Saccharomyces cerevisiae S288C: one gene and its partners. The gene in region 1 interacts genetically with each later gene. Each region holds a gene or a part of one and is shown in the gene's direction. Other genes may lie near its edges. The genes, in order: NUP60, RAD57, MAD1 and MLP2.

What was found.
Region 2: mutations in NUP60 (region 1) and RAD57 together harm fitness more than expected from each alone (negative genetic interaction), as found in Saccharomyces cerevisiae (5 studies listed by BioGRID, with this or other methods).
Region 3: mutations in NUP60 (region 1) and MAD1 together harm fitness more than expected from each alone (negative genetic interaction), as found in Saccharomyces cerevisiae (5 studies listed by BioGRID, with this or other methods).
Region 4: mutations in NUP60 (region 1) and MLP2 together harm fitness more than expected from each alone (negative genetic interaction), as found in Saccharomyces cerevisiae (6 studies listed by BioGRID, with this or other methods).

Annotation. Positions count from the first base shown.
Region 1 is NC_001133.9:150,719-154,838, forward strand, and holds NUP60 (FG-nucleoporin NUP60), read left to right. Parts: upstream 1-1,538; coding exon 1,539-3,158; downstream 3,159-4,120. Other genes in the region: transcription factor TFIIIC subunit TFC3, read right to left, coding at 1-288, 379-448; ERP1 (Erp1p), read right to left, coding at 3,347-4,006. UniProt on the Saccharomyces cerevisiae protein: Functions as a component of the nuclear pore complex (NPC).
Region 2 is NC_001136.10:451,807-458,954, forward strand, and holds RAD57 (putative DNA-dependent ATPase RAD57), read left to right. Parts: upstream 1-3,394; coding exon 3,395-4,777; downstream 4,778-7,148. Other genes in the region: alpha,alpha-trehalase NTH1, read right to left, coding at 1-669; Ran GTPase-binding protein YRB1, read left to right, coding at 1,239-1,844; RCR2 (Rcr2p), read left to right, coding at 2,316-2,948; YDR003W-A (uncharacterized protein), read left to right, coding at 2,976-3,098; RNA polymerase III-inhibiting protein MAF1, read right to left, coding at 5,030-6,211, 6,292-6,297; SOK1 (Sok1p), read right to left, coding at 6,736-7,148. UniProt on the Saccharomyces cerevisiae protein: Participates in the repair of X-ray-induced damage to DNA and in meiosis. It may act in part by stabilizing a repair complex of other RAD genes.
Region 3 is NC_001139.9:343,584-351,165, forward strand, and holds MAD1 (coiled-coil domain-containing protein MAD1), read left to right. Parts: upstream 1-3,535; coding exon 3,536-5,785; downstream 5,786-7,582. Other genes in the region: LIF1 (Lif1p), read left to right, coding at 1-1,001; MF(ALPHA)2 (Mf(Alpha)2p), read right to left, coding at 1,208-1,570; YGL088W (uncharacterized protein), read left to right, coding at 2,253-2,618; E2 ubiquitin-conjugating protein MMS2, read right to left, coding at 2,823-3,225, 3,311-3,321; LCL3 (Lcl3p), read left to right, coding at 6,033-6,857; GUP1 (O-acyltransferase), read right to left, coding at 7,033-7,582. UniProt on the Saccharomyces cerevisiae protein: Central component of the spindle assembly checkpoint. Thought to recruit MAD2 to unattached kinetochores. During checkpoint activity, MAD2 is relayed from the MAD1-MAD2 complex to the mitotic checkpoint complex (MCC).
Region 4 is NC_001141.2:61,017-71,729, reverse strand, and holds MLP2 (Mlp2p), read left to right. Parts: upstream 1-3,662; coding exon 3,663-8,702; downstream 8,703-10,713. Other genes in the region: SLN1 (histidine kinase), read left to right, coding at 1-1,939; ubiquitin-60S ribosomal protein eL40 RPL40A fusion protein, read right to left, coding at 2,202-2,580, 3,015-3,022; MCM10 (Mcm10p), read left to right, coding at 9,002-10,713. UniProt on the Saccharomyces cerevisiae protein: Together with the closely related MLP1, involved in the structural and functional organization of perinuclear chromatin. MLP1/MLP2 associate with the nuclear pore complex and form filamentous structures along the nuclear periphery.

The DNA of each region.
Region 1 (4,120 bases):
ATTTGGCAACTTCGAGAAGTAGTTCAAATGCAGAATTTCCAATAGTTGACTCCTTTTTTGTGTATCCCGTTAATAATGTCCATAGGCTGTCCTCAGTAATCCCAACCGAGTATGAATGATTAGCGTCGCCTATAATATCAGTCACATTTTTAGTTGTTATAGCACCATCACAATACACCTCAATGTCCTTTTTCAATATCACGCATGAAAGCACGAACTGTTTAACTTTTTTATCAGACAAATCAAAATATTTACCAGATATATCCCACAGCTGATTCAAAGTGATTTCTTCAATGTGTCGTTAGTAAATAATCTTTCACAATATAGTACGTTTATCACCTAAACGGAGCCGAAAAGGAGAATGAGACATGAACATACTTCCCTTATTTGAAGCAATTTTATCAGACACTATTTGTACGAGTTCGTCAGGATAAATCGTCAGTACCATTTTTCTTGTGGCTAGTTGGCTTCAACCAAACGTCCTCTTCTCTCTTATGGCAAGAAGAAAGTTATATGTGTGACTGGTTGTTTATTTCACTTTCGCGACTGAAAGCGCCGCCCTTTATGATGCAAAAAACCAAGCGGTATTTGAAAATGCAGATTTGCAGAAATAAAAGAAATAAAAATAAAAATCTTATAATTTTACCAGCTTCAATAACTCGATTTGCATAAGTGTGCCTTAGTATGCTTATTATATTGACTTTGACATTGAACTTCAAAACCTTTTATGTAATGATTTAAGTCTTGTCACATGACATAATAATAAATAATTTTAAAAATATAAAATATTTTTAATAGTTTTTAAATATTTTACAGTTTATTTTTTAAATTTATTTATATGTTTTTGTTTTCCGAAGCAGTCAAAGTATTTTAATTTTCGGAGCTTTCATTTCAAGCGCCTTTTTTTTACACATAATACGATCAAGATAAATTATTATAGTGGTACAGAACTCTTAAGCACTAGGCGGTGGACCTTATTAGCTCAATCTTGAGTCAGTCCATGTATCGTTTTATAATACTTTTTTAAGCACTTTCTTTAATAAATATTCCATTGAAGTACTGTTACTGAAATGAGATGAACTGTTCAGAATGTAGAAATGGCGCCAGAAATCAATCATTGTTTAGCAAAAACACCTTTCGTCTGCTGCCTCGGGTGTTTTTTCAAATTATTTCAGCAGGTAAATTAAGATAGTTATTCGAGTGATTGCCAAATATCATGTTCTACTTCGAAGACTTATAGCTAATTAATTTTTTCATAATGAAGGTGTCGTTAATTGTTCTGATTAGTAACATGAAACTCAAAAATCATCAAAAAAAGAAAAGCTAAATGTATACTTTTTTGTCTACATTAGTTACCTTTTATTACATGAGAAAGTTATTTTTCTTCTTTTTTTTTTTTTTTTTTTGAAACTTTTTCCTCTCGGAAAATAAAAGATATATTTACAAGTGAAAGCTTATTGTAATGTGTACTTTTAAACATCAAATAACAGACCTTTACATCAAATAAGCACCGCAAGATATCCTAAAATCGACATCCAATGCATCGTAAATCATTGAGGAGGGCTAGCGCTACTGTGCCTTCCGCTCCCTATCGAAAGCAGATTATTAGCAATGCACACAATAAACCAAGCCTTTTCTCTAAAATTAAAACTTTCTTTACCCAAAAAGATTCAGCCAGAGTGAGTCCAAGGAATAATGTTGCTAATAAACAACCACGCAATGAGTCTTTTAACAGAAGAATCTCAAGTATGCCTGGAGGTTATTTCCATTCTGAGATATCCCCAGATTCTACTGTAAACCGTTCCGTAGTTGTTTCTGCAGTGGGTGAAGCCAGAAACGACATTGAGAATAAAGAAGAGGAGTATGATGAAACACATGAAACTAACATCTCCAATGCAAAGCTTGCAAACTTTTTTAGTAAAAAAGGTAATGAGCCTTTATCAGAAATTGAAATAGAGGGTGTGATGTCATTGTTACAAAAATCAAGCAAATCCATGATAACTTCGGAAGGAGAACAAAAATCAGCCGAAGGTAATAATATCGACCAGTCGCTTATCTTGAAGGAGTCAGGAAGTACACCAATCAGCATATCTAATGCGCCGACCTTCAACCCAAAATATGATACTTCAAATGCGTCAATGAATACGACTTTGGGAAGCATTGGTTCAAGAAAATACAGTTTCAATTATTCTAGCCTGCCCTCACCATACAAAACAACCGTTTATAGATATAGTGCAGCGAAAAAGATCCCCGATACATACACAGCCAACACATCTGCTCAAAGTATAGCATCTGCTAAATCGGTAAGAAGTGGTGTTTCAAAGTCAGCTCCTAGTAAGAAAATAAGTAATACAGCTGCGGCATTGGTCTCACTATTAGATGAAAATGACAGTAAGAAGAATAATGCAGCTTCAGAACTTGCTAATCCATACTCCTCATATGTAAGCCAAATACGCAAACATAAGAGAGTTTCTCCAAATGCTGCACCAAGGCAAGAGATCAGTGAAGAAGAAACTACTGTTAAGCCATTATTTCAAAACGTTCCTGAACAAGGCGAAGAACCAATGAAACAACTGAACGCCACCAAAATTTCACCATCTGCGCCAAGCAAAGATTCTTTTACTAAATACAAACCTGCAAGGTCCTCATCCTTACGCTCAAATGTCGTCGTAGCTGAAACCTCACCTGAAAAGAAGGATGGTGGAGATAAACCTCCATCCTCTGCTTTTAACTTCTCGTTTAATACTTCAAGAAACGTTGAACCTACTGAGAATGCTTATAAGAGCGAGAACGCACCATCTGCATCATCAAAGGAATTCAATTTTACCAACCTACAGGCGAAGCCGTTAGTTGGAAAGCCAAAAACCGAACTTACAAAGGGCGATTCTACTCCCGTCCAACCAGATCTTTCGGTTACTCCTCAAAAAAGTTCATCGAAAGGCTTTGTTTTTAATAGTGTTCAAAAGAAATCACGGTCCAATCTTTCACAAGAAAACGATAATGAAGGTAAACATATCAGCGCCTCAATTGATAACGACTTTTCAGAGGAAAAGGCGGAAGAGTTTGATTTCAATGTTCCCGTGGTGTCTAAGCAGCTAGGAAATGGCTTGGTTGATGAAAATAAAGTTGAGGCTTTCAAGTCCCTATATACCTTTTGATAATGAAAATTTTAGCCGTGACATAATTACCGTATAGCCCAACTCAATACGTAAGTTTGTGTAAAATACCATTCCAAGATGATATTATTTAGTCATTTTTTTTCCACTTTCTCAAAAAGAAGGAATACCTTTAGCGGCTCTTATAAACTATAAATTTCTAGAAGATACATAAAAGGTTTTTAGTCTGATCATAAAATTTTTTGCTTAACAAAAAATTTGCCCAGGTGTTTCATTTGCCAGCCACAAGTAACAGCGAGAACAATTAATTGAATGACAATCCACCACATAGCACGAGAATTAACAGCTTCAGAGGCGTCTCTAAAGGTAGCTTCACGATCTCTCATCAATTTTTGCTCTCTTCTAATTTCGCCGATCTTGGAGTTTAGGACGTTAACCTTGGCATGTAGAATGTCAATAGTGGCTTTACCCTTAGAATCTAACTTTTCATCAGAGCCCACTTGGAATTCAACGTCAATCTTCGTTTTAGCCTTAATCAACCAGCCACCAGCTTCGGGCTGAATACAGATTTTATGTTCACCCGAATCAGACGCAAGGAAAGTTAAATCACCACTTGCTGAACCTTTCTGATGAACAACCAGGTGGTTATCATCAAAAGTTTCCTCAATATCAATCAAGACACCAAAATCTTGCGCACCAGCGTCTCTGTAATTTTGTAATTGGTCATCGTAAATTTGTGCCTTGTAAGTTGCTTGGAACAAAGTACCTTTAGACAATTCCTTGTGGAAGCACTTACGTTCAGCACCAGAAGTATAATAATAGAACGCAGTAACTTGAGCTGGTAAAACTAGACAGCAGGCAAAAACCTGTAAAAGAGAGGTTAAAAGCATGATTAGTAGAGAGATTGGTTACCTTTAAATACTTTTCCAAACTACAGAGGGAAGATAGAGTAAGTTTTGTATGTACACATTTCTGCTGATGTGTTTTTTTTTTTCAACTTATTA
Region 2 (7,148 bases), on another chromosome or scaffold:
TGGATTTTTTGCCCCCGGCGTATCAATCTTGGTATCTTTTGCAATTTCGCCTACGTTGTTCAGATCAACTCTCCTGGTCAAAGAGTTCCAGAACTGTGTGTTTATCAATCTTGATAATCTGTTGACGGGATTTTCGTTTATACGAGCTTCATCTAAGAAAATTTGGTGTCTACCAAAACTTTTCGCAATAGTTAGTTCCTGCAACAAATTGGATAACATATACGTACCCCTAATATTAATATGCTTATAGCCATAGGAGTTTGCGGTACCGACTTTCAAAACTTTTGGACCGGTATCCTCGATGGTGATCTGATAATTTTTATCGGTATCCTCAGCAGCCAGTAGTTCATTAAGTGTTTTATCGACATCTTCGATAAAGAAACGACGATTACCTTGACTACTTGAATAGGTGTCATCCTCAGAACCACGTCTAGTCTGTTGAAGTTTACCAAAACCAGTTTTCTTGAAAGGAGATACATTATCGAAAACACTCATAGTCCTCGTACGGTTGATCTTAGCGGGCTTTGCCTGCTTCTGCTTTCTTGGGTCTGTTGGGGGGCCATAGTAGACTTCTGCGTTCGAAAATGGATCATTGAATTCACTTAGTGATGATAATCTTCTTTGACGGCCTTGGGCTACCGGTCCTTGGCTTGTATTAACTTGACTCATTCTACTGATTTTTTTTGTTAATTTTTCTTTTTTTGTTTATCAGGCGTTCTTGTATCTAGTAATCTCCTTATATCTATGCAGTTGGTTGTGAAATCAGTCAATATAAAACTATCTTCTTGATATTATATTTACTCTACGGAAAACGATAGGGGGAAAATTTCTAGCTAATGTTTTGCGATCTTTTCAGGCCAACAAATCTTGTACCTCGCTCCTGAAAAATCCCGTAAATCGGTGATCGCGCAAGTTTCATATTGATAACCTTGTGAACCAGTCTATATATAGCCTTATATAAGTACTGCTCTATCAAACTTAAGATTGGTGGCCTTCTTCGGTAACTAGGGGATAAGGGGCTTCGTCCTACACGATGCTCCTGTCGTTTCTTTTTTTCATTTCTTTTTTCGCCCAGCGGGAAGTACGCGGAAAACAAGAAACAAAAAAAAAATAAAAAAATAAAAAATAAAACAGAAACTAAAATCTGATGATGAAATTGATATTCAATTGGAGAAAGAAGAAAGATCTTGTTTAATTTGAAATAAAAGCAAGAAGATAAACACAACTATAGAAAAAGAATGTCTAGCGAAGATAAGAAACCTGTCGTCGACAAGAAGGAAGAGGCTGCTCCAAAGCCACCATCCTCTGCTGTCTTCTCCATGTTTGGTGGTAAGAAGGCCGAAAAGCCAGAAACCAAGAAAGACGAAGAAGATACCAAGGAGGAAACCAAGAAGGAAGGTGATGATGCTCCAGAATCACCAGATATCCATTTTGAACCAGTGGTTCACCTGGAAAAGGTAGATGTTAAGACAATGGAAGAAGACGAAGAAGTTCTTTACAAGGTCAGAGCCAAGCTTTTCAGATTCGATGCCGATGCCAAGGAATGGAAAGAAAGAGGTACTGGTGACTGTAAGTTCTTGAAGAACAAAAAGACTAACAAGGTTAGAATATTGATGAGAAGAGACAAGACCTTAAAGATTTGTGCTAACCACATCATTGCTCCAGAATACACTTTGAAGCCTAACGTTGGTTCTGATAGATCTTGGGTGTATGCTTGTACAGCAGATATTGCAGAAGGTGAAGCAGAAGCCTTCACTTTTGCTATCAGATTTGGCAGTAAGGAAAATGCTGATAAATTTAAAGAAGAATTTGAAAAAGCTCAAGAAATCAACAAAAAGGCTTAGTTTCGATGTGCTTGTTACTTGCGTCTAGATTTTTTTGTTCCTAATGTAATTTTCCTTTACAGCGTGCATATATATTTTTATCTACTGTGAGGAAAAGTTGCTCTTTAATTATATAAAAAACGCTTATGTAGCATTGTGAAATCACATATGAATAGATATGTAAGAAGGATTAGAGGGTTCAAGTAATTGTTGCAGTAGTCAATGTAGCCAAATGTCTAACCACTTTGGTGCATGGAGATTAGCTCAATAATCTCGTAGTATGTTTCCGGGTAATATTCTCTGTCTTATTTACCATCTTTATGTTTCCGCCCTTTTATTTTTGTTTTTCTCGCTACTCCTTTATAATTACTAATGAGAATCGAATACTATAGAAATTTTTGACGTAATAAAGGAGCAGTAAATTTGGAATACATTCCTTAGCTCGCTAGAAAGCTGAAGGAAATTTAGCTAAACAGAGAGTATAGTTTTGAAATGATTTTACGGGAGCAGATCGACTTCCTAATACATAAAAGACAGGATGATAATAATAACAATGGTGAAGCGATTACAGATGATGATCCATTTAGCTCTTCCTCATGGAGATGGGGAAGATGGATTTTTTTTATTTTTTTCATAGTTGCACTCCTTATACTTCTGTTTTCAACTGCAAAAGTGAATAGGAGAAGAAGAATTATGGGTCAAGCTCCGATTAGGGGAACCGCTTGGTTAACCCCGCCTACCTACAGGCAGTCCGAGAGAGATTACAATGGCACACAGCGTTGCGTTGAAGACTATGTTCCTGAATATACAGAGACAGCAAATGAGAATGATTTGGGGTTTTACGACGAACGAGGAGAGTTTCATCCTAATGGCAAAACGGAATATTTAGCGCCACCGCCTTTATCAGAAGAACAAGCTAGCTCGACTGATAAAGACTTACAGCGCCCAGTGGCTGCCGTCGTACGAATTCCTAGTGAAAGTGAATTCGACTTCAATCTGCTAAGACCCACTATGAATAATTTCGTTAATGGTCAGAGTAATCGCAACGAGCAGCATTCTCCGACTGTTGAATCTTCTTCCTTTGATGTTAATAACGCGCCGGCAAGAGCGAAAGTGAGTAAGTGATTTTTCGTTTAATGAATTTATTATCGCATGACTTGCGGTATAGAAAATAGTTATAAGAGTGCTGAAAAAAAAAAGAAGTACAGAAGTTTTCGTTTCTTTGAAAGTCGCGATTATTCCGAGTTGTGTATTATAGTAGGAACATACTATTGATTTAGGTTTGAGAGCTGGTAGTATCGACGTCCAGAACAGTCAATTCATCGGAACGCTTTCGACTCGGTCCACGGAAAAGCCATTCAACGATTTATACGGACGGTGATTTTGATTAGTCTAATTGCCTATATATTATAAATATATTCTTCCTTTACCTATTTCTTCTCACACATTATCCTCTAAGTAACATGAGAATTCAGATGCCGGTTAATCTTCGGCTTTTTCGCGTTGAATTCAAAAAATGAAAATGATGAACAACCACTGGGAATTCACCATTTTTCAAAGTGTGTAAATTCATGCCTAGGGCCTTATCAATAAAATTTGACAATACGTATATGGACCTTTACGATGAATTACCGGAAAGTAAACTCCTTTATGATGAAGAATTTTCATATCTTTTGGATGCAGTAAGGCAAAATGGTGTCTGCGTCGTAGATTTTTTAACACTCACTCCGAAGGAATTGGCAAGGCTAATACAAAGGTCGATAAATGAGGTTTTCAGATTTCAGCAATTGCTTGTTCATGAATATAATGAAAAGTACTTAGAAATCTGTGAAAAAAACTCTATCAGCCCAGATAACGGTCCTGAGTGTTTCACGACTGCTGATGTAGCTATGGATGAATTATTAGGTGGAGGCATATTCACGCATGGCATTACAGAAATATTCGGAGAGAGCTCTACTGGTAAATCTCAATTACTTATGCAGTTGGCGTTAAGTGTCCAACTTTCCGAACCTGCGGGAGGGCTTGGCGGCAAATGTGTATATATTACCACTGAGGGCGATTTACCAACTCAGAGATTGGAAAGTATGCTATCGTCTAGGCCGGCTTATGAAAAACTAGGTATTACACAATCAAATATTTTCACCGTCAGCTGTAACGACCTAATAAATCAGGAACACATAATCAATGTTCAGTTGCCTATTTTATTAGAGAGATCTAAGGGTTCAATAAAATTGGTGATAATAGATTCGATTTCTCATCATTTGAGGGTGGAGCTTCAGAACAAGTCCTTCAGAGAATCCCAAGAAAATAAAAACTATCTGGATAGGATGGCAGAGAAGCTCCAAATACTGGCCCACGATTATTCATTATCCGTTGTGGTGGCTAATCAAGTTGGGGATAAACCACTGGCTAACAGTCCAGTGGCACATAGGACATATGTAACTGATTATGATTATCAGCTAGGGTGGCTAGTTGGCTGGAAGAACTCAACCATTCTTTATCGGCAGATGAATTCGCTGCTTGGAGCAAGTTCCAATAACGATGAAATTCTATCAGACGATGAAGATTATATGCTAATCGAGAGAGTTATGAGCACTGTAAATGACCGGAATTATGATTTTTTTTCAAAAAAGAAACCACCCATAATTGAGAATAAAACCGTTGAGCGAAATTCATCAAGTCCTATCAGTCGACAAAGTAAGAAACGGAAATTTGACTATCGTGTCCCCAATCTCGGTTTGACTTGGTCCAATCACGTTTCAACACGAATATTACTTCAAAAATCTTTCAAGGCTTCAACAATAATTCAAAGAGGTGAAGCTCATCTTTATAAGGGAGGTGATTCGGCAAGCTTCTGGCAAGTTAAGAGGACAATGAAAGTGGTATATTCCACATTCGCTAAGCCTGGTCAAATTGCATATCAAATTACTAAGCGAGGAATAGAAACAGCCTGATTGAAGTTCCGTATTCGAAAGAAACTAAGAGCTTTGCAGTAATATATGATGAAGGCAGTCTTTTTATATAGTAGCGCACATTATTCAATCCTCGCTAAAGTGTTCAATTAGTAAATATAATATTGTCATAAAGGTACATAGTTGAAAAGGGTATTTTTTTAAAAATAGAAACTTACAATAGTAGACATAAAGGGACTGTTTTTAACGATTATAGGTGTAAGACAAGGAAAATTCACAAATTAAAGTTTAAAACTACTGTAGGGATTCTTCTTGATCTGATTTATCATCTATTACATTCTCATCATAAGTGAAATCGTATTCTCCTTCGTATTCATTTGAGCCATCATCTATTATAAGCTTTCCCTGAGGTTTTTTTGCCAAGGCATCTTCCACTTCGCCTGTACTCGAATTTAGACGCGAGCAAATCAAGTAAAGGTAAGCCACTCTTTTCCTTTTCCTGTTGTAAAGAAAACCTATAAGATTCCAAAGATAGCCAGGCTCATCTTCCAAAAAAGAGTTTGAAGGTGAATATTGAAAAAGGACGCAATCAGAAAGAGTCATGTGAGAATTAATTACCTCCCAGACCCATTCCTCTGGTTGTCTACCAAGAGAATATAAGGTGTTTTCAAATTTGGAAATAAAAGTTTTCAATGATGTTTTGACAAAATCCGTTGGCTCAACCGATGAAAAATCATGGTCAGGATAAGAAGCGTTGAGGATAGCAATCAGATAAGCAAATATTTTGCGGCTTGACGGTTCGTTTATGGGACCAAACGGACCCAAACTTAAATTGCTTGGCCTTTCGTTTATCGAAGATTTTCTTCTTTTGTTAACATTGTTGGTTGCTGTACCAGAACTGTAATTATTGTTCGATGATTTACCACTTTTGAAACTGCTAATACTGCTACTGCTCCTTCTTCTTATCCTCTCATCATTCTTAGAAGAAGAATCAAGAGACGATGAGCTCATAGAGCCAGAATCGTAATTCGAGACTAATTCTTTTAAATTTTGGTCATTTAGCTTGGCACTTTTGGGAAAAGTTGCTGGAGAAGAACCATTAGGTCCAGAATAGTTATTGTTATTACTGCTATTGCCATTACTGTTGTTAGTGTTATTATTGCTATTGTATTCACTAAAAGATATTCTTCTCTTTTGCTCCCAAAAAGAGTTGCTATCCCTCCTATTAGAATAAAATGGCGACGAGCAGGGTGATTGGTTTGTTTCGGGAGCAGCTAGCTGTTGCTGAAGGGTAGCATTGTAATTCTCATTTTCCTGTAAAATAGTATCCAAATGCTGATCAATAGTTTTATATAATTTTCTATCTGATGCAACCGCCTTTGTTGTGAAAATATCGCAACTGCCCACGATTTTACAGTCATTTGTCTCGAAATTGAGAGTTTGATTCACTCTCTCTATATCTAGCTCATCAATAAACTAAGGAAGAAAAGGAGGGTTCAGGTACAATGTTAGTAATTTCGAATAAAGAGCATGGCAGTTTTAGAGTGATAACATACTTTCATTGTCGTGATTCTTTAGGCAAAAAAATCCGTTTGGAGTAATGAGCGGTTAAACTTGTTCTTGGTGAAGTGTGCAGAGTTTCTAAACTTTAAGTAAATGACACTAAGCCTATATTTTTCGCATTGCTAAAGAAACACTGATACATAATGTGTCTACATTTTATATAGCTGATAGCACGTTCTTTTTAAGTTGAATTATCTTTTTTTTCTCTTGTTAAATAAGATGGACAACGCGCTTTCGCTGGCGAGATGAAGCGCCCCTGATTGACAAGCAACTCGTGGAGGCAAGTAATTAGCGACGCTTTACTTTGTCTGATAGCAGTAAATATGTGACTGCATTTAAGAAGTGAAATTATAAGAAATGTACGCTTTAAAAATGATATATGAAGTTACATAAAGAAATGGTAAAAAAATTTTTTTTTCCTCCATTACCGATAATAGTTATATTCCTTTTTTATTAACTTTATCTCCTAACATTTCGATATAATGAGGACCGAATACGGACCAATGAAGGTTGATTAATGCATATAAGTGGCGATAAACATTCTCGAATTCCTCCAGCTCTGTTGCTGCGAATAAACCTCTGGATGCAATCGCATTGCCAGTAGGTGTGGTGGTGGAGGTTTTAGAAGGAGACATCAAAGACGGGCTGATTTTAACGCTAGCAGTATCTGTAGTAGTACTCAAAGTGTTAGTGCTACCTACGTTGCCATTGTTTGTGTTGTAGAGGTACACAAAGTCTTGTTTAACGCGTCCATCAATTGTGCACTCGGACCTGTTGAAGATAGCGTCCTCTAGTGATTTGAATACTCTATTTTCTAGGACACCATAAACTTCACTGAGGGGTTGAGTTT
Region 3 (7,582 bases), on another chromosome or scaffold:
GGTATGAACTACTCAAAATGTTAACTGGTCACAAAGTGTACATTGCATCGTTAGACGAAAAAGTCGTATTCACAAAATGGACGTGCAGAATGCAAGATGATGAGGTATGGAAAGTAGTTATGGAGTTGGAGTCATCGGCGATCATAAGAAAAATCGCTGAACTTACCTTGCATCCAGTCAAAAAGGGAGAGATTGATTTATTTGAAATGGCAGATAAACTCTATAAAGATATCTGTTGTGTTAACGATTCTTACCGGAATATAAAGGAGAGCGATTCTAGCAATAGAAATCGAGTTGAACAGCTGGCTCGGGAAAGGGAGCTATTGGATAAGCTTTTAGAAACACGTGATGAAAGAACCAGAGCAATGATGGTAACCTTGTTGAATGAGAAGAAGAAGAAAATAAGAGAGCTTCATGAGATTCTGCGACAAAATAATATCAAATTGTCTGACGATGATGTTTTAGATTCTGCGCTTATTAATACGGAAGTGCAAAAGCCAATTTCTGAGTTAAACTCTCCAGGAAAAAGAATGAAACGAAGAAAGACGGTAGTAGAGCCTCAAAATTTACAAAAGAAGTTGAAAGACACAAGTCGGAGGAGAGCTAATAGAAAAATATCTAATCAATCCGTGATCAAAATGGAAGACGACGATTTTGATGACTTTCAATTTTTCGGACTTTCTAAAAGGCCAATTATTACTGCTAAAGATAAACTCAGTGAAAAGTACGATGATATTACCTCTTTTGGAGATGACACACAATCAATAAGTTTTGAATCTGATAGTAGCAGTGATGTTCAAAAACATTTAGTGTCTTTAGAAGACAATGGTATTCAAATATCAGCAGGAAGATCGGATGAAGATTACGGAGACATTTCTGGTTCTGAATCTGAGACTGATGCAAGTGCAGGGGAAAAGAAGAGCTCCAACCATAGTGAACAATCCGGTAATGATAGGGAACCTTGCTTGCAGACAGAATCGGAAACGGATATAGAAACATAGCCTATTTATGAATGAATGTAATATATGGCAAAGAGTATTATAGTATCGCATCATTTGAGAGAATACTTTATTTAAATGGCAAAAAATAGTTCTATGTGAGTGATCGAAAACTCAACTACTCAGATTGAAAAGAAAATAAATAAAACTAGGTGTTGTATGAACGTGAAAGAAATCGAGAGGGTTTAGAAGTAGTTTAGGGTCATTTTTCAGTACATTGGTTGGCCTGGCTTGAGTTGCAACCAGTGCCAAGCATCAGCGTTGGCCTCTCTCTTGTACATTGGTTGGCCTGGTCTCAAATTTAACCAGTGCCAAGCGTCGGCAACAGCCTCTCTTTTCGCCAAAGTGGTGTTTTGCTCTTTTTCAGCCGCCTCAGCAATAGTGGTGTTGATAAACAATAGCCCACTGGCGGTAGCGTTACTGAATGGTAAAAAAGCTATGTCATGATCACCTCCGAAATCCAAGTATCCAATAATGGCCTCGGCTGGCACCTGAGCGATATCTTCATCGGAACTAGCAGTGACAGAAACGGCCGCTAAAATAAAAGTGAGAAAGGTAGAAATGAATTTCATTTTCTCCAATATGTGAATTTACTGGAATTTGATGCAGGTGATGGTAGTAATTATCCATTATATAGAATATAAAAACAGATATAGGAAGGACACCTCAAACTACACCAGAATCAAGGACAGCTTTTATACATATAAGCCCTCGTCTCTGCGCTGTAAAGACACCAAGTTTCACTAGGTCCACGGCGACTCTGTACTGAAACAACTGAATATTTGAAACAGTAACGATGAATAGTTTGGCTCGATACCTTGAAAACAATCACTACAGGCGTCGCCCAGATGCGCACATCGTTGCTGGCATTGATGTACCAATGAAGAAATATAAGTGACAAACTTTATGAAAAGATAGAAAGAGGTTTACAAGATAAGAGAAAAATTATGCTGTGAAGATTAGTAATCGAAGTAACTGCTTATTCATTCAGTGCATGTTTTTCTAGGAATGCGTTTGATATGGGACATACATCTTACTATGCGACATTACCTTTTAGGGACATCAATGAGCAAGTGAACACTAGCAAATTAGGAAAACAACTTTAGCACGCCCAACTGCGTACTGAAACGCAGAAAACTATAGAGTTTCCCGAAACGGTGACAGCTGAGTTCGCTCAAATAAGAACAACACCATGTCTTGAAGCTTCTTCTATAGCGTAGAGTAAGTAGTGCCTTGTAGCCCTACCGTTTTACAATGCATGAGGTTACCCGCACTTATTATTTTTTTCTCTTTTTTTTTCTTAGCTATAAAAGGCAGATCAATGCAGCATTCATTGCTTTATTTGACTTTCCTTTACTATTTATTTACTTTCCATTTCTTATTTTAGTGTTATTTTATAACAGTAACGCAAATTTAACAGCCATTCGTAACACGTACAGTATCTCGTCGAGGTTGAACCCCTCCGGGGCGTTCTTGACCCATGAAGAATGTGGATTGGTGTTGCAATATATTTATTATTGGCTTGGACTGGAGAACAAATTTATCGATCTTGGGTGCAACAGTCTTTCTGTCGTCTGTTTTTTAGCAGATCTAAGGGTTTACCTTCGTGTGCCCGGATGAGGACCGTTGCAAGGATTGATAATACAACTATATACATCATTATCGTAGTGAATTGCACGAGTAACTTCTCGGCATGGGGTGAGTAAATTCATATTATGAAAGTAATTAAACTTACTACCTAAATAAGAGGATATCTATGTCTTATTGCTTGTATATATGAGTGGCTTGGAATGCTGCAAATACTGTTTAGGAAAAAGTAGATAACTAAAAGGTTTCTCCTTCCTTCGGTTGACGCAATTTCTTGTTCGCTGGGGTTGCCATTTCCTTTCTAAGATCAAGTAATAAAGTTTCCATGGTGTAGGCTCTTTTCCAGTCACGTAAGGTGTGGAAGTCAGTTTGGACCTCCCCCGTAGTTGGATTGACGCATGGTAGATTTATCTTGGAAATGAAAGTGACCTTTGGGGGAGAATCTGGATAGTTTGGGCCACAATCTATAGAAAGGGAATAGATTCTGTTTTCATGATTACTATGAGGGGGCCCTAAAATAGTGCCGTTCCATTTGGTCATGGTAATATCGTCGCTATCAGCTAAACCATAACTACATGATTCTGGACCAAACCCTTTTTCACCCTTTTCTAATTCTTCTAACAACCTAAAATTTCTTGGTCTGATTTACAATAGGACAGTGAGGGTACATTTCAAGAATTTGTTAGTATATGTTGAAATCCCTTTCAAAACTTATAATAACATACACTTTTGACATTTTTGTGTAAACGCTGCTTTCTTCTACGTTGCATATACAGAATAAGAATTTCACCACGACATCGAAATGTAATGAGCAGAGATTGTGTAGGAAGTTGATCTTATTTTAGTCTCTTATTTATCGCTAAAGGAGCAATGAAAATTGATAGCGTGTTACCCTAGGAATAATTCCTAACAATTTTTTCCATCTTAAAATCGAGAGGTAATAGTAAATAATGGATGTGAGAGCGGCATTGCAATGTTTCTTCAGTGCATTGAGTGGACGATTCACTGGAAAAAAATTGGGACTAGAGATCTATTCTATCCAGTACAAAATGAGCAATAGTGGTGGGTCCTCTCCTTTCTTGGAAAGCCCTGGAGGTTCGCCCGACGTAGGCAGTACAAATGGACAAAGTAATCGTCAGATTCAGGCGTTACAATTCAAGCTCAATACTCTACAAAATGAGTATGAGATTGAAAAATTGCAGCTACAAAAACAGACGAATATCTTAGAAAAGAAATATAAGGCCACGATTGACGAATTAGAGAAAGCATTGAATGATACAAAATATCTTTATGAAAGCAATGATAAATTGGAGCAAGAGTTAAAGAGTTTGAAAGAAAGATCAGCTAATTCGATGAATGATAAAGACAAATGCATAGAGGAATTGCGAACAACCCTCCAAAACAAAGATTTAGAAATGGAGACTTTAAGGCAGCAGTATGATTCGAAGTTATCAAAGGTCACTAACCAATGTGACCATTTCAAGTTGGAAGCAGAGAGCTCTCATTCGCTACTGATGAAATATGAGAAAGAAATAAAGAGGCAAAGTGTGGATATCAAAGATTTGCAGCATCAAGTGATGGAAAAGGATGATGAATTATCTTCGGTAAAAGCATCTAAGATGATAAACTCACATCCAAACTACTCCACCGAAGAGTTCAACGAGCTCACTGAAATGAACAAAATGATCCAAGACCAAGTTCAGTATACTAAAGAATTGGAACTAGCGAACATGCAACAAGCCAATGAATTGAAAAAACTTAAACAATCCCAGGACACTTCTACTTTTTGGAAATTAGAAAATGAAAAACTACAAAACAAATTAAGTCAATTACACGTACTCGAAAGTCAATATGAAAATCTTCAATTGGAAAACATAGATCTAAAATCGAAATTAACCAAATGGGAAATTTATAATGATAGTGACGATGATGATGATAACAATGTTAACAACAATGATAATAATAATAATAATAAAAATGATAATAATAATGATAATAATAATGATACAAGTAATAACAACAATATTAATAATAACAACAGAACCAAAAATAACATAAGAAATAACCCTGAAGAGATTATCCGGGACTGGAAACTTACCAAAAAGGAATGTTTAATTTTGACAGATATGAATGATAAGTTAAGATTGGACAATAACAATTTAAAGCTACTGAATGATGAAATGGCTTTAGAGAGAAACCAAATACTAGATTTGAACAAGAATTATGAAAACAACATAGTAAATTTGAAAAGATTAAATCACGAGTTAGAACAACAGAAGAGTTTATCTTTCGAAGAATGTCGATTACTGCGCGAACAATTAGATGGCCTATATTCCGCACAAAATAATGCTTTACTAGAGGTCGAAAATAGTGAAACACATGCGTCAAACAAGAACGTAAACGAAGATATGAATAATTTGATCGATACTTATAAAAATAAGACAGAAGATTTAACAAACGAACTAAAGAAGCTAAACGATCAGTTATTATCAAATTCCAATGATGTAGAAACACAAAGAAAAAAGAGGAAGTTGACAAGTGACCAAATTGGTTTAAATTATTCACAGAGGCTCAACGAATTGCAACTGGAAAATGTAAGTGTCTCGAGGGAGTTGAGTAAAGCACAAACTACAATTCAGCTACTACAAGAAAAATTAGAAAAGTTAACTAAACTAAAGGAGAAAAAAATACGTATACTGCAATTACGTGACGGCCCCTTCATAAAAGATCAATTTATCAAGAAAAACAAATTACTTCTTCTAGAAAAGGAAAATGCAGATTTACTTAACGAATTGAAAAAGAATAATCCAGCAGTGGAAACAGTACCCATTTCTGTTTATGATTCACTAAATTTCGAGTTGAAACAGTTCGAACAGGAAGTTTTTAAGTCAAATAAAAGATTTTCCAGACTAAAGCAAGTTTTCAATAATAAATCTTTGGAGTTTATTGACGTTGTAAACTCATTATTAGGTTTTAAATTGGAATTTCAACAAGATAGTCGTGTGAAAATATTTTCCTGTTTCAAACCTGAAAAATATTTGATTGCTGATCTAAATGAAAACACTTTGAAATCTAACCTTGATGCAGATATAGAAGGATGGGATGATCTCATGAATCTATGGGTGGAAGATAGAGGTCAACTTCCGTGCTTTTTGGCAACAATAACATTGCGTCTGTGGGAACAGCGACAAGCCAAATAAGTGTATATACATTTCTAATAGATAATAGTAATCGGTTTTATAATATGATAAACTCCTATCCGCTGACATAATTGTTGGTCACAAAATTCTTTTATCTTTCTTCATCATTGACCTTTTATGATTCCTTTGGTATGCAAAAAAAAAAAAATTGTGTTGAAGAATAAAAACAAATTACAGAATAAGTCACACATGATATAAAAAGAAGCCCAGTTTTTCATAGCTATTAAGGGGGCATAAATGCACTTATATGAGGGAAGGTGATTCTAATTCAAAAAAATCTGCGGATGTTGCTGTCCTCTCCATCATCCTTACGGGTTCGACCTTAACATTGATCTACACATATAAAAGGTATTTAACTCAATTCAAAAGAACAAATGATATACCGCGAAGAATATTTCGTAAACACTGGCTTTATGGTAAAGTCACGTCTGTAGGTGACGGGGACAACTTTCATTTCTTTCACATGCCAGGTGGTATAAGAGGTGGATGGGGATGGTTACGACCCGTCCCACAAATGATCAAGAATGATTCTACGGCAGAAAAGCTTGTTGGAGATAGCAGAAATATGAGGTTTTTCAATTTCAATTGGATTACGCATGGGAGGTCCACCAAAAGTAAAATACAAAAAGCTAAAAGCCAGTTCTTGAAGCTAAATGTACCTTACAAAAATAGGAAAAACCTGCCAACTATTCCTATAAGATTATGTGGAATCGATGCCCCAGAAAGAGCACATTTCGGTAACCCAGCTCAACCGTTTGGTAATGAAGCTTTAATTTGGTTACAAAACCGAATTTTGGGAAAGAAAGTATGGGTCAAGCCTTTATCTATAGATCAGTACAACCGTTGTGTAGCTCGAGTGTCATACTGGGACTGGTTTGGTGGGTGGAAAGACTTAAGCTTAGAAATGCTCAAGGATGGATTAGCGGTTGTTTATGAGGGTAAAGTAAACACAGAATTTGATGATAGAGAAGATAAGTATCGATATTATGAATTTTTGGCAAGATCTAGAAAAAAGGGACTGTGGATCCAGAATAAATTTGAAACGCCTGGTGAATATAAAAAACGTATTTGAGTTTTCGAGAGGATTTTTATCCATCATACTGCAGATTTTCATATTATATGTTCATTAGCTTTTCACGCTTCCTCTCGATATTTTTTTATTTATTTTCGGTTTCATTTTTGTACTAGTAGATAAAAATACATACATGATAGCAGTGTTATACAATTGATATTCGTAAATTTGGCATTCAGCATTTTAGGTAAATTCCGTGCCTCTTTTCTTCTTCTCTGATTTCAAACATTATTTGTACTGCGATGAATAAACTAACGCTTGCCAAAATTACAAATTTGAAACCAGATACGGTACAGAACATATCGCTTAGTAATTTTTTAGTACCGTCAGAGCCCAAGCAGAATCCAAAAAGATTAGCGATCATCATAACCCATATGTTGAAAACAGCACCGACAGCGCAAACGTGTCTGTACCAGACTGCGTCGGTATAATGAGAGAAAATTTGGGTAGCAAAAATTTCTGGTAAGAGGAACAAAACTATTAGCCAACCCCATAATAATAACTTTAGTTCGATGTCATGCCATATAGCTACGAAGGAAAAGACTGCTAGTGATGTCAAAACTCTATTTTTTGAACCACCTAGAGGAATATATATGTAACGGACAACCCACTTATTGTAGCTTCTATGCCAAGCTCTCCAGAATGCTAGTGAACTGTAATTGTTATCAACACACCTGATCATATTTTCAGGTGTATCGATTCCGTCTAGCAAAGCCCACAGCCTA
Region 4 (10,713 bases), on another chromosome or scaffold:
GCACGAATTGAGAACGCCTTTAAATGGTATTCTGGGTATGACGGCTATTTCAATGGAAGAAACCGATGTTAACAAAATAAGAAATAGTTTAAAACTCATTTTTAGATCAGGTGAGCTTTTGCTTCATATTCTAACGGAATTGTTAACTTTTTCCAAAAACGTTCTTCAAAGAACGAAACTGGAGAAAAGAGATTTTTGCATTACCGATGTTGCCTTACAAATAAAATCGATATTTGGTAAAGTTGCAAAGGATCAGCGTGTTCGTCTTTCAATATCATTGTTTCCTAATTTGATAAGGACAATGGTTCTTTGGGGTGATTCCAACAGAATTATTCAAATTGTGATGAATCTAGTGTCCAATGCACTAAAGTTCACCCCTGTAGATGGTACCGTTGATGTAAGAATGAAACTGTTGGGTGAATACGACAAAGAATTAAGCGAGAAGAAGCAATACAAAGAAGTGTATATCAAAAAAGGGACAGAAGTAACCGAAAATTTAGAAACTACAGATAAATACGATCTTCCAACTTTATCGAACCATAGGAAAAGTGTCGATTTAGAATCCAGCGCTACTTCCCTAGGAAGTAATAGAGACACTTCGACAATTCAGGAAGAGATAACAAAAAGAAATACTGTTGCGAATGAAAGTATCTATAAGAAAGTGAATGACAGGGAAAAAGCTTCGAATGATGATGTATCTTCTATAGTATCAACAACTACCAGCTCGTATGATAACGCTATCTTCAATAGTCAGTTCAATAAAGCACCTGGCTCAGATGATGAAGAAGGTGGTAACCTAGGAAGACCTATCGAAAACCCCAAAACGTGGGTTATTTCTATTGAAGTGGAAGACACTGGGCCTGGTATTGACCCTTCCTTACAAGAATCTGTATTTCATCCATTTGTTCAAGGTGATCAAACATTGTCCAGGCAATATGGTGGTACTGGCTTAGGTCTATCAATCTGTAGACAGTTAGCAAATATGATGCATGGAACGATGAAATTAGAGTCGAAAGTAGGTGTTGGTAGTAAATTCACTTTTACCTTGCCATTAAATCAAACTAAAGAGATCAGTTTTGCAGATATGGAGTTTCCTTTTGAGGACGAATTTAATCCTGAGAGTAGAAAGAACAGAAGAGTCAAGTTTAGTGTTGCTAAAAGCATCAAGAGCCGACAATCCACATCATCTGTTGCAACACCAGCTACAAATAGAAGTAGCCTAACCAACGACGTGCTACCGGAGGTAAGAAGTAAAGGTAAGCATGAGACGAAAGATGTTGGAAATCCTAACATGGGAAGAGAAGAAAAAAACGACAATGGAGGGCTTGAACAACTGCAGGAAAAAAATATTAAACCTTCTATATGTCTTACAGGTGCTGAAGTTAACGAACAAAATTCCTTGTCTTCTAAGCATCGTTCTCGACATGAAGGTCTAGGTTCTGTCAATCTTGATAGACCATTTTTGCAAAGTACTGGTACAGCCACATCAAGTAGAAACATCCCCACAGTCAAAGACGACGATAAAAATGAAACAAGTGTCAAAATTTTGGTTGTAGAAGATAATCATGTAAATCAGGAAGTTATCAAAAGAATGTTGAACTTGGAGGGCATTGAAAATATTGAACTGGCTTGCGATGGCCAAGAAGCATTCGACAAAGTTAAAGAATTGACATCTAAGGGCGAAAATTATAATATGATTTTCATGGATGTCCAGATGCCTAAAGTGGATGGTTTACTTTCTACCAAGATGATAAGGCGCGATTTAGGTTATACCTCACCTATTGTCGCTCTAACCGCTTTTGCTGACGATAGCAACATTAAAGAATGTTTGGAATCAGGAATGAACGGATTTTTATCGAAACCAATCAAAAGACCAAAATTGAAAACTATTCTTACTGAGTTTTGTGCAGCATATCAGGGAAAGAAAAATAACAAATGAACAACCAAGAATAGTAAGAGAAATCAAAAGCTTGCGCGTAATACCACCGCTACGCGTTGACTTATATGCATAATATACAAATATACTTAAAAAAAAAAAAACAACATTATAGATTCCAAAGTTATGAAACTAAGAAAAGTATATTGTTTTCTTAAGTATATTGTATGAATTAATATTATGATTTTAACAGTAGGTATGATAAAAGAAGATGTACATTAAAGTATACAGTAAATAAATGTATAGATTGATTGGGCGAAACAGATCATTTTAACTTCTTCTTTGGACGCAATTGGTTGGTGTGACCACACTTTCTCTTTCTACAGTTGGTAGCTCTTGGTGGCAATCTAGCATAACACTTACGGCAAACAGATTTGTCACAGTTGTACTTGGAAGCCAAAGCTTTCAAAGATGGTTCAATGATACCACCTCTCAATCTCAAGACTAAGTGCAAAGTGGATTCTTTTTGAATGTTGTAGTCAGACAAGGTTCTACCGTCTTCCAATTGCTTACCAGCAAAGATCAATCTTTGTTGGTCAGGTGGGATACCTTCCTTGTCTTGAATCTTTGACTTGACATTGTCAATAGTGTCAGAAGATTCAACTTCCAAAGTGATGGTCTTACCAGTCAAAGTCTTGACAAAACTGTTAAAAAAATAATTTTATAAAAAAATGACAAGTTAGTAAGGATATCATAAAAACACGTAATAGTTTTTTCATAACTGTTCGGAAGAAGACAAAATTTTAAACGAGCTCTCATCGTCATATCTTGGGGGAGAGCATGAACCACAAATTTGGATATTTCTTAGGCAATGAGACTGTTAAGTCGCATCACCCGCTCAAAATCTAATCATATTTTCCACAAGTCACTGTACATTCACTAAGTCATTCCTAGAGAGGAAAGTTCCTCATATTCAGTTTGGCAGTTTTCTTTGTTTTAATTTTTGATGGATAAAAAATTTTGTAGACTTTACAGATACGATGTTATTCCACTGGGTAAAAATTCAGTTTCTAAAATAATTGTCCCTTTAAGCTCTGAACGTTCGAAAAACTATGTTTAGAATGGATATGGTGCATACATTTGCATGTTTGAATCTTGGTCGTCTCAACTATGGGATAATAAGCGGTAATAACAACAACAAATAGAGATTCAACTACCTTTAATTTCAGATATTCTTGATACACCTTTGGTTGGAATGTATGCCTCGCTAGAAACTGGAGAAGGCCGTCCTGAGGCCGGAAACCATCTCACCCTCAGGGAGGCAATCGGAGGTCCTGTCTAGAGAGAAAAGAGTACAACAAAACCCATCCCATAGGAGGAATATGCTCCGCCTATGTCCAGGCGGAGTGCTAAGAGGTTCCGCATCTTTTCTGGTTTGCTCCACGAAATATCGACACGGAGCACAAAAATAGAAAAACCATACATCTTAGTAATGTACGGATGTAATAAACTCAAATTGCAGTCAATAAACTTGTCGATAGCTTACCCGGATATTGCATGGAAAATTTACTTCACCATAAGGGAAAAAGACCAATATTCGTTAATGAACAGTGGATATTATAGAATTGTTGGATAGAGTTGATCGATAATTGAAGATAATAGAAGAAGAAAACAATATCGGCGTTAAATTGCAAGCGCTTATTTCTCTGGTGGCTTTTCTTTTTCTAGTGGAAGTTTACCAAAAGAAATTTAAGGCGAAAGAACACTGGGCGGAAGCAAACCGGCAATGGAGGACAAAATATCTGAGTTTTTAAATGTTCCATTCGAATCACTTCAAGGTGTTACCTATCCTGTCTTAAGAAAGTTATACAAGAAAATAGCCAAGTTTGAACGTTCTGAAGAGGAAGTGACAAAACTCAATGTTTTGGTCGATGAGATCAAATCGCAGTACTATTCAAGGATTTCAAAACTTAAGCAGCTACTAGATGAATCTTCTGAGCAGAAGAACACAGCTAAAGAAGAATTGAATGGCTTGAAAGATCAGCTGAATGAAGAACGTTCCAGATATAGGCGGGAAATAGATGCACTAAAAAAACAATTGCATGTGAGCCATGAAGCTATGAGAGAAGTAAATGACGAAAAACGAGTTAAAGAAGAATATGACATTTGGCAGAGTAGAGATCAGGGGAATGATTCTTTAAATGATGATTTGAACAAAGAAAATAAGCTTCTTCGAAGAAAGCTGATGGAAATGGAAAATATACTACAAAGGTGCAAGTCCAATGCTATATCATTACAGTTAAAGTACGATACCTCAGTACAGGAAAAAGAATTAATGTTACAAAGTAAAAAATTAATTGAAGAAAAATTATCATCTTTTAGCAAAAAAACGCTAACAGAAGAAGTCACAAAATCATCGCACGTAGAGAACCTCGAAGAAAAACTATACCAAATGCAATCCAACTATGAATCTGTCTTTACGTACAATAAGTTTTTACTAAATCAAAATAAACAATTATCCCAGTCGGTGGAAGAGAAAGTACTGGAAATGAAAAATTTGAAAGATACCGCAAGTGTGGAAAAAGCAGAATTCTCCAAAGAAATGACTTTACAAAAAAATATGAACGATTTGCTACGCTCACAACTAACATCATTGGAAAAAGATTGTTCCTTGAGAGCAATAGAGAAAAATGATGATAATTCCTGCAGGAACCCTGAACATACTGATGTGATAGACGAACTTATAGACACAAAATTAAGACTCGAAAAATCAAAAAATGAGTGTCAAAGGTTACAGAATATAGTTATGGATTGTACCAAGGAAGAAGAAGCTACAATGACTACGAGTGCAGTTTCTCCCACAGTAGGTAAACTATTTTCTGATATCAAAGTGCTGAAAAGACAATTGATAAAGGAAAGGAATCAGAAATTTCAATTACAGAATCAACTGGAGGATTTTATACTAGAATTAGAGCATAAAACCCCTGAACTGATCTCTTTTAAGGAAAGAACAAAATCATTGGAACATGAACTAAAACGTTCCACAGAACTACTAGAAACTGTTTCTTTGACTAAGCGTAAGCAAGAAAGAGAAATAACTTCACTGAGACAGAAGATAAATGGCTGTGAAGCAAATATTCATTCTCTGGTGAAACAACGTTTGGATTTGGCCCGTCAAGTTAAACTACTTCTTTTAAATACATCTGCGATACAGGAAACGGCATCGCCGTTATCGCAAGATGAACTGATATCATTAAGAAAAATACTGGAGTCGAGCAATATCGTAAATGAAAATGATTCCCAAGCCATCATTACGGAAAGACTGGTTGAATTCAGTAATGTGAATGAGCTACAAGAAAAAAATGTTGAACTCTTGAATTGCATTCGGATTTTGGCTGATAAATTAGAAAATTATGAAGGAAAACAAGACAAGACCTTACAAAAGGTAGAAAACCAGACCATTAAAGAAGCAAAAGATGCAATAATTGAACTGGAGAACATCAATGCGAAGATGGAAACCCGGATAAATATCCTATTAAGAGAGCGGGATTCTTACAAATTGCTGGCATCAACTGAAGAAAACAAGGCCAACACAAATTCTGTCACTTCTATGGAAGCAGCCCGTGAAAAGAAGATTAGAGAACTTGAGGCAGAACTTTCATCTACAAAAGTCGAAAACTCTGCTATTATTCAGAATTTAAGAAAAGAGTTGTTAATTTATAAGAAATCACAATGCAAAAAAAAAACAACTTTAGAGGATTTTGAAAATTTCAAGGGTTTGGCAAAGGAAAAAGAACGTATGTTAGAGGAAGCAATAGACCACCTAAAAGCTGAACTCGAGAAACAAAAATCATGGGTTCCATCATACATACATGTTGAGAAAGAAAGAGCCTCAACTGAACTGTCACAGTCTAGGATCAAAATCAAATCTTTGGAGTACGAGATTTCCAAACTGAAAAAGGAAACTGCCAGCTTTATACCCACGAAAGAATCTTTAACTAGAGATTTCGAACAATGCTGCAAAGAAAAAAAAGAATTGCAGATGAGACTAAAGGAGTCTGAAATCAGTCATAATGAAAATAAAATGGATTTTAGCTCGAAAGAGGGCCAATACAAAGCCAAAATCAAAGAATTGGAAAACAATTTGGAAAGATTACGTTCCGACTTACAATCAAAGATACAAGAAATAGAATCGATACGCTCATGCAAGGATTCGCAACTCAAATGGGCTCAAAATACCATCGATGATACAGAAATGAAAATGAAGTCCTTACTAACTGAATTATCAAATAAGGAAACAACGATTGAAAAACTTTCATCAGAAATAGAGAACCTGGATAAGGAACTAAGAAAAACCAAATTCCAATATAAATTCTTGGATCAAAATAGTGATGCAAGCACGTTAGAACCGACTTTGAGAAAAGAATTAGAGCAAATCCAAGTTCAATTGAAGGATGCAAACTCACAGATACAGGCTTATGAAGAAATTATATCATCGAATGAAAATGCGCTAATAGAATTGAAAAATGAACTAGCAAAAACCAAAGAAAATTACGATGCTAAGATTGAACTAGAGAAGAAGGAAAAATGGGCGAGGGAAGAAGATCTATCTCGTTTACGCGGAGAGCTCGGTGAAATAAGAGCTTTGCAACCGAAACTAAAAGAAGGTGCATTGCATTTCGTTCAACAATCAGAAAAGTTGAGGAATGAGGTAGAAAGGATCCAAAAAATGATAGAAAAAATTGAAAAAATGAGTACGATTGTCCAACTGTGCAAAAAAAAAGAAATGTCCCAATATCAGTCCACAATGAAGGAAAATAAAGATCTATCTGAATTGGTTATCCGCCTTGAAAAGGATGCGGCTGATTGCCAAGCAGAATTAACAAAAACCAAATCCTCATTGTATAGCGCTCAGGATTTACTCGATAAACATGAAAGGAAATGGATGGAGGAAAAGGCTGATTATGAAAGAGAATTGATATCTAATATTGAACAGACGGAATCCTTGCGTGTTGAAAATTCGGTATTGATTGAAAAGGTTGATGACACAGCAGCAAATAATGGCGATAAAGATCATTTGAAGCTAGTTTCTTTGTTTTCAAACTTACGTCATGAAAGAAATTCTTTAGAGACGAAGTTAACCACCTGTAAGAGAGAATTGGCATTCGTTAAACAAAAGAACGATAGTTTAGAAAAAACGATAAATGACCTGCAACGAACCCAGACTTTATCGGAGAAGGAATACCAATGCTCTGCAGTTATTATTGACGAATTCAAGGATATCACGAAAGAAGTTACTCAAGTTAACATTTTAAAAGAGAATAATGCCATCTTACAAAAGAGTCTCAAAAACGTAACCGAAAAAAACAGGGAAATTTATAAACAATTAAATGATAGGCAAGAAGAAATTTCTCGATTACAGCGTGATCTCATACAAACAAAAGAACAAGTTTCGATAAATTCTAACAAAATTTTAGTATATGAAAGTGAAATGGAGCAATGTAAACAGAGGTACCAGGACTTATCTCAACAACAAAAAGATGCCCAAAAAAAAGACATTGAAAAGCTAACTAATGAGATTAGTGATTTGAAGGGAAAACTTTCAAGCGCTGAGAACGCAAACGCTGACTTGGAAAATAAATTCAATAGGCTAAAGAAGCAGGCTCATGAAAAATTGGACGCATCTAAGAAACAACAAGCTGCTTTAACTAACGAACTCAACGAATTAAAAGCAATTAAAGACAAATTAGAACAAGATCTACACTTTGAAAACGCTAAAGTTATTGATCTAGATACGAAGCTCAAAGCACATGAACTCCAATCAGAAGACGTCTCGAGAGATCACGAAAAGGACACTTATCGGACATTAATGGAGGAAATTGAATCACTCAAAAAGGAGTTACAAATTTTCAAAACTGCGAATAGCTCATCTGATGCATTTGAGAAATTGAAAGTTAACATGGAGAAAGAAAAGGACAGAATTATTGACGAAAGAACGAAGGAATTTGAAAAAAAATTACAAGAGACCTTAAATAAGAGTACAAGCTCAGAAGCAGAATACAGTAAAGATATCGAAACATTGAAAAAGGAATGGCTAAAGGAATATGAAGATGAAACGTTAAGGAGAATTAAGGAAGCAGAAGAGAATTTAAAGAAAAGAATAAGGTTACCAAGCGAGGAAAGGATACAAAAGATCATTAGTAAGCGTAAAGAAGAATTAGAAGAAGAATTTCGAAAGAAATTGAAAGAAAACGCGGGAAGCTTAACGTTTCTTGATAACAAAGGTAGCGGGGAAGATGCCGAAGAAGAATTATGGAACAGTCCATCGAAGGGGAATTCTGAGAGGCCGTCGGCTGTCGCTGGCTTTATAAATCAAAAAAACCTTAAACCTCAAGAACAATTGAAGAATGTGAAGAATGACGTTTCCTTCAATGACAGCCAGTCAATGGTTACAAATAAAGAAAATAATATCGTGGATAGTAGCGCTGCTGGTAACAAGGCCATTCCAACCTTTAGTTTTGGTAAGCCATTCTTCTCCTCTAATACATCATCTCTTCAAAGTTTTCAGAACCCATTCACAGCATCCCAATCTAATATCAATACGAATGCCCCCCTACGTACACTCAATATTCAACCTGAAGTTGCAGTCAAAGCGGCGATTAACTTTTCCAACGTAACCGATCTAACTAACAATAGCACCGATGGAGCAAAAATAACAGAAATTGGAAGTACATCTAAACGGCCAATTGAGAGCGGTACATCTTCTGATCCAGACACCAAAAAGGTTAAAGAGAGTCCAGCAAATGATCAAGCTTCCAACGAGTGATGTAATATTAAACAATGTAATTATATAAATATGAAACATCTACATATTTTAAATGTCACTAATGTCATTACAGAGGACATAAAGTGATTTATGACACATCCGTACTAGTAGTTAAGTATGAACAAATTTTGGGTTTATTTGCCATTTTTTTTCACGCGGGTTTCTTGGATGCGCAAACCCACCTTTTCTAACACCACTAAGAAATATCAACTTTATAGGCCATCGAAGATAAAGGAACGTAAGTTTGTCAATTCAACCTCACATTTTCAACGCACATTAAGCACTTGGTTCGTGGAGAAATGAATGATCCTCGTGAAATTTTAGCGGTTGATCCGTACAATAATATTACTTCTGATGAAGAGGATGAGCAAGCCATCGCGAGAGAACTTGAATTTATGGAACGAAAGAGGCAGGCCTTAGTGGAACGATTAAAAAGAAAGCAAGAATTTAAGAAACCCCAGGATCCTAATTTTGAAGCCATCGAGGTACCTCAATCTCCTACCAAAAACCGTGTGAAAGTGGGGTCTCATAATGCTACACAACAAGGCACAAAATTCGAAGGTTCGAATATTAATGAAGTAAGGTTATCTCAATTACAGCAGCAACCAAAACCACCAGCTAGTACAACCACATACTTTATGGAGAAATTTCAAAACGCAAAGAAGAACGAAGATAAACAAATTGCCAAGTTTGAAAGCATGATGAATGCAAGAGTACATACGTTCAGTACCGATGAGAAGAAATATGTGCCGATAATCACAAACGAATTAGAAAGCTTTTCAAATCTTTGGGTTAAAAAGAGGTACATACCTGAAGATGACTTAAAACGGGCTTTGCATGAGATCAAAATCCTTCGGTTGGGCAAACTTTTTGCTAAAATTCGCCCACCTAAATTTCAAGAGCCTGAATACGCCAACTGGGCCACCGTAGGCCTCATTAGCCACAAATCGGACATCAAATTTACATCATCTGAAAAGCCAGTCAAATTCTTCATGTTCACCATAACGGACTTTCAGCATACACTAGATGTTTATATCTTCGGGAAAAAGGGTGTAGAAAGATATTATAATCTTCGCCTGGGTGATGTGATAGCAATATTAAACCCAGAAGTACTACCATGGAGACCCTCAGGGCGAGGAAATTTTATCAAATCCTTCAACCTTCGAATTAGTCATGACTTCAAATGTATCCTGGAGATAGGTTCAAGTAGAGATTTAGGTTGGTGTCCCATAGTGAATAAAAAGACTCACAAAAAATGTGGCTCTCCCATTAACATATCTCTTCATAAGTGTTGCGATTACCATAGAGAAGTGCAATTTCGTGGAACAAGTGCTAAAAGAATTGAATTAAATGGTGGGTACGCCTTGGGCGCGCCTACGAAAGTGGACTCTCAACCAAGCCTATATAAGGCCAAAGGGGAAAACGGGTTTAATATAATCAAAGGTACTCGTAAGCGCCTGTCAGAAGAGGAGGAAAGACTTAAAAAGAGCTCTCACAATTTTACGAATAGTAATTCTGCCAAAGCATTTTTCGACGAGAAATTTCAGAATCCAGATATGCTGGCAAACTTAGACAATAAAAGAAGGAAAATAATAGAAACTAAGAAATCGACAGCACTGAGCCGCGAACTAGGCAAAATTATGAGAAGGAGGGAATCCAGCGGATTAGAAGATAAGAGCGTCGGAGAGCGACAGAAAATGAAACGAACCACAGAAAGTGCCCTCCAGACAGGGCTTATCCAACGCCTAGGATTCGATCCCACTCATGGAAAAATTTCCCAAGTACTCAAGTCTTCTGTATCAGGGAGCGAACCTAAGAACAACTTACTCGGTAAAAAAAAAACTGTTATAAACGATCTCTTGCATTACAAGAAGGAAAAAGTCATTCTCGCACCTTCAAAGAACGAATGGTTCAAGAAAAGAAGCCATCGCGAAGAAGTTTGGCAAAAACATTTCGGATCCAAGGAAACTAAAGAAACTTCTGACGGTAGTGCCAGCGATCTTGAGATAAT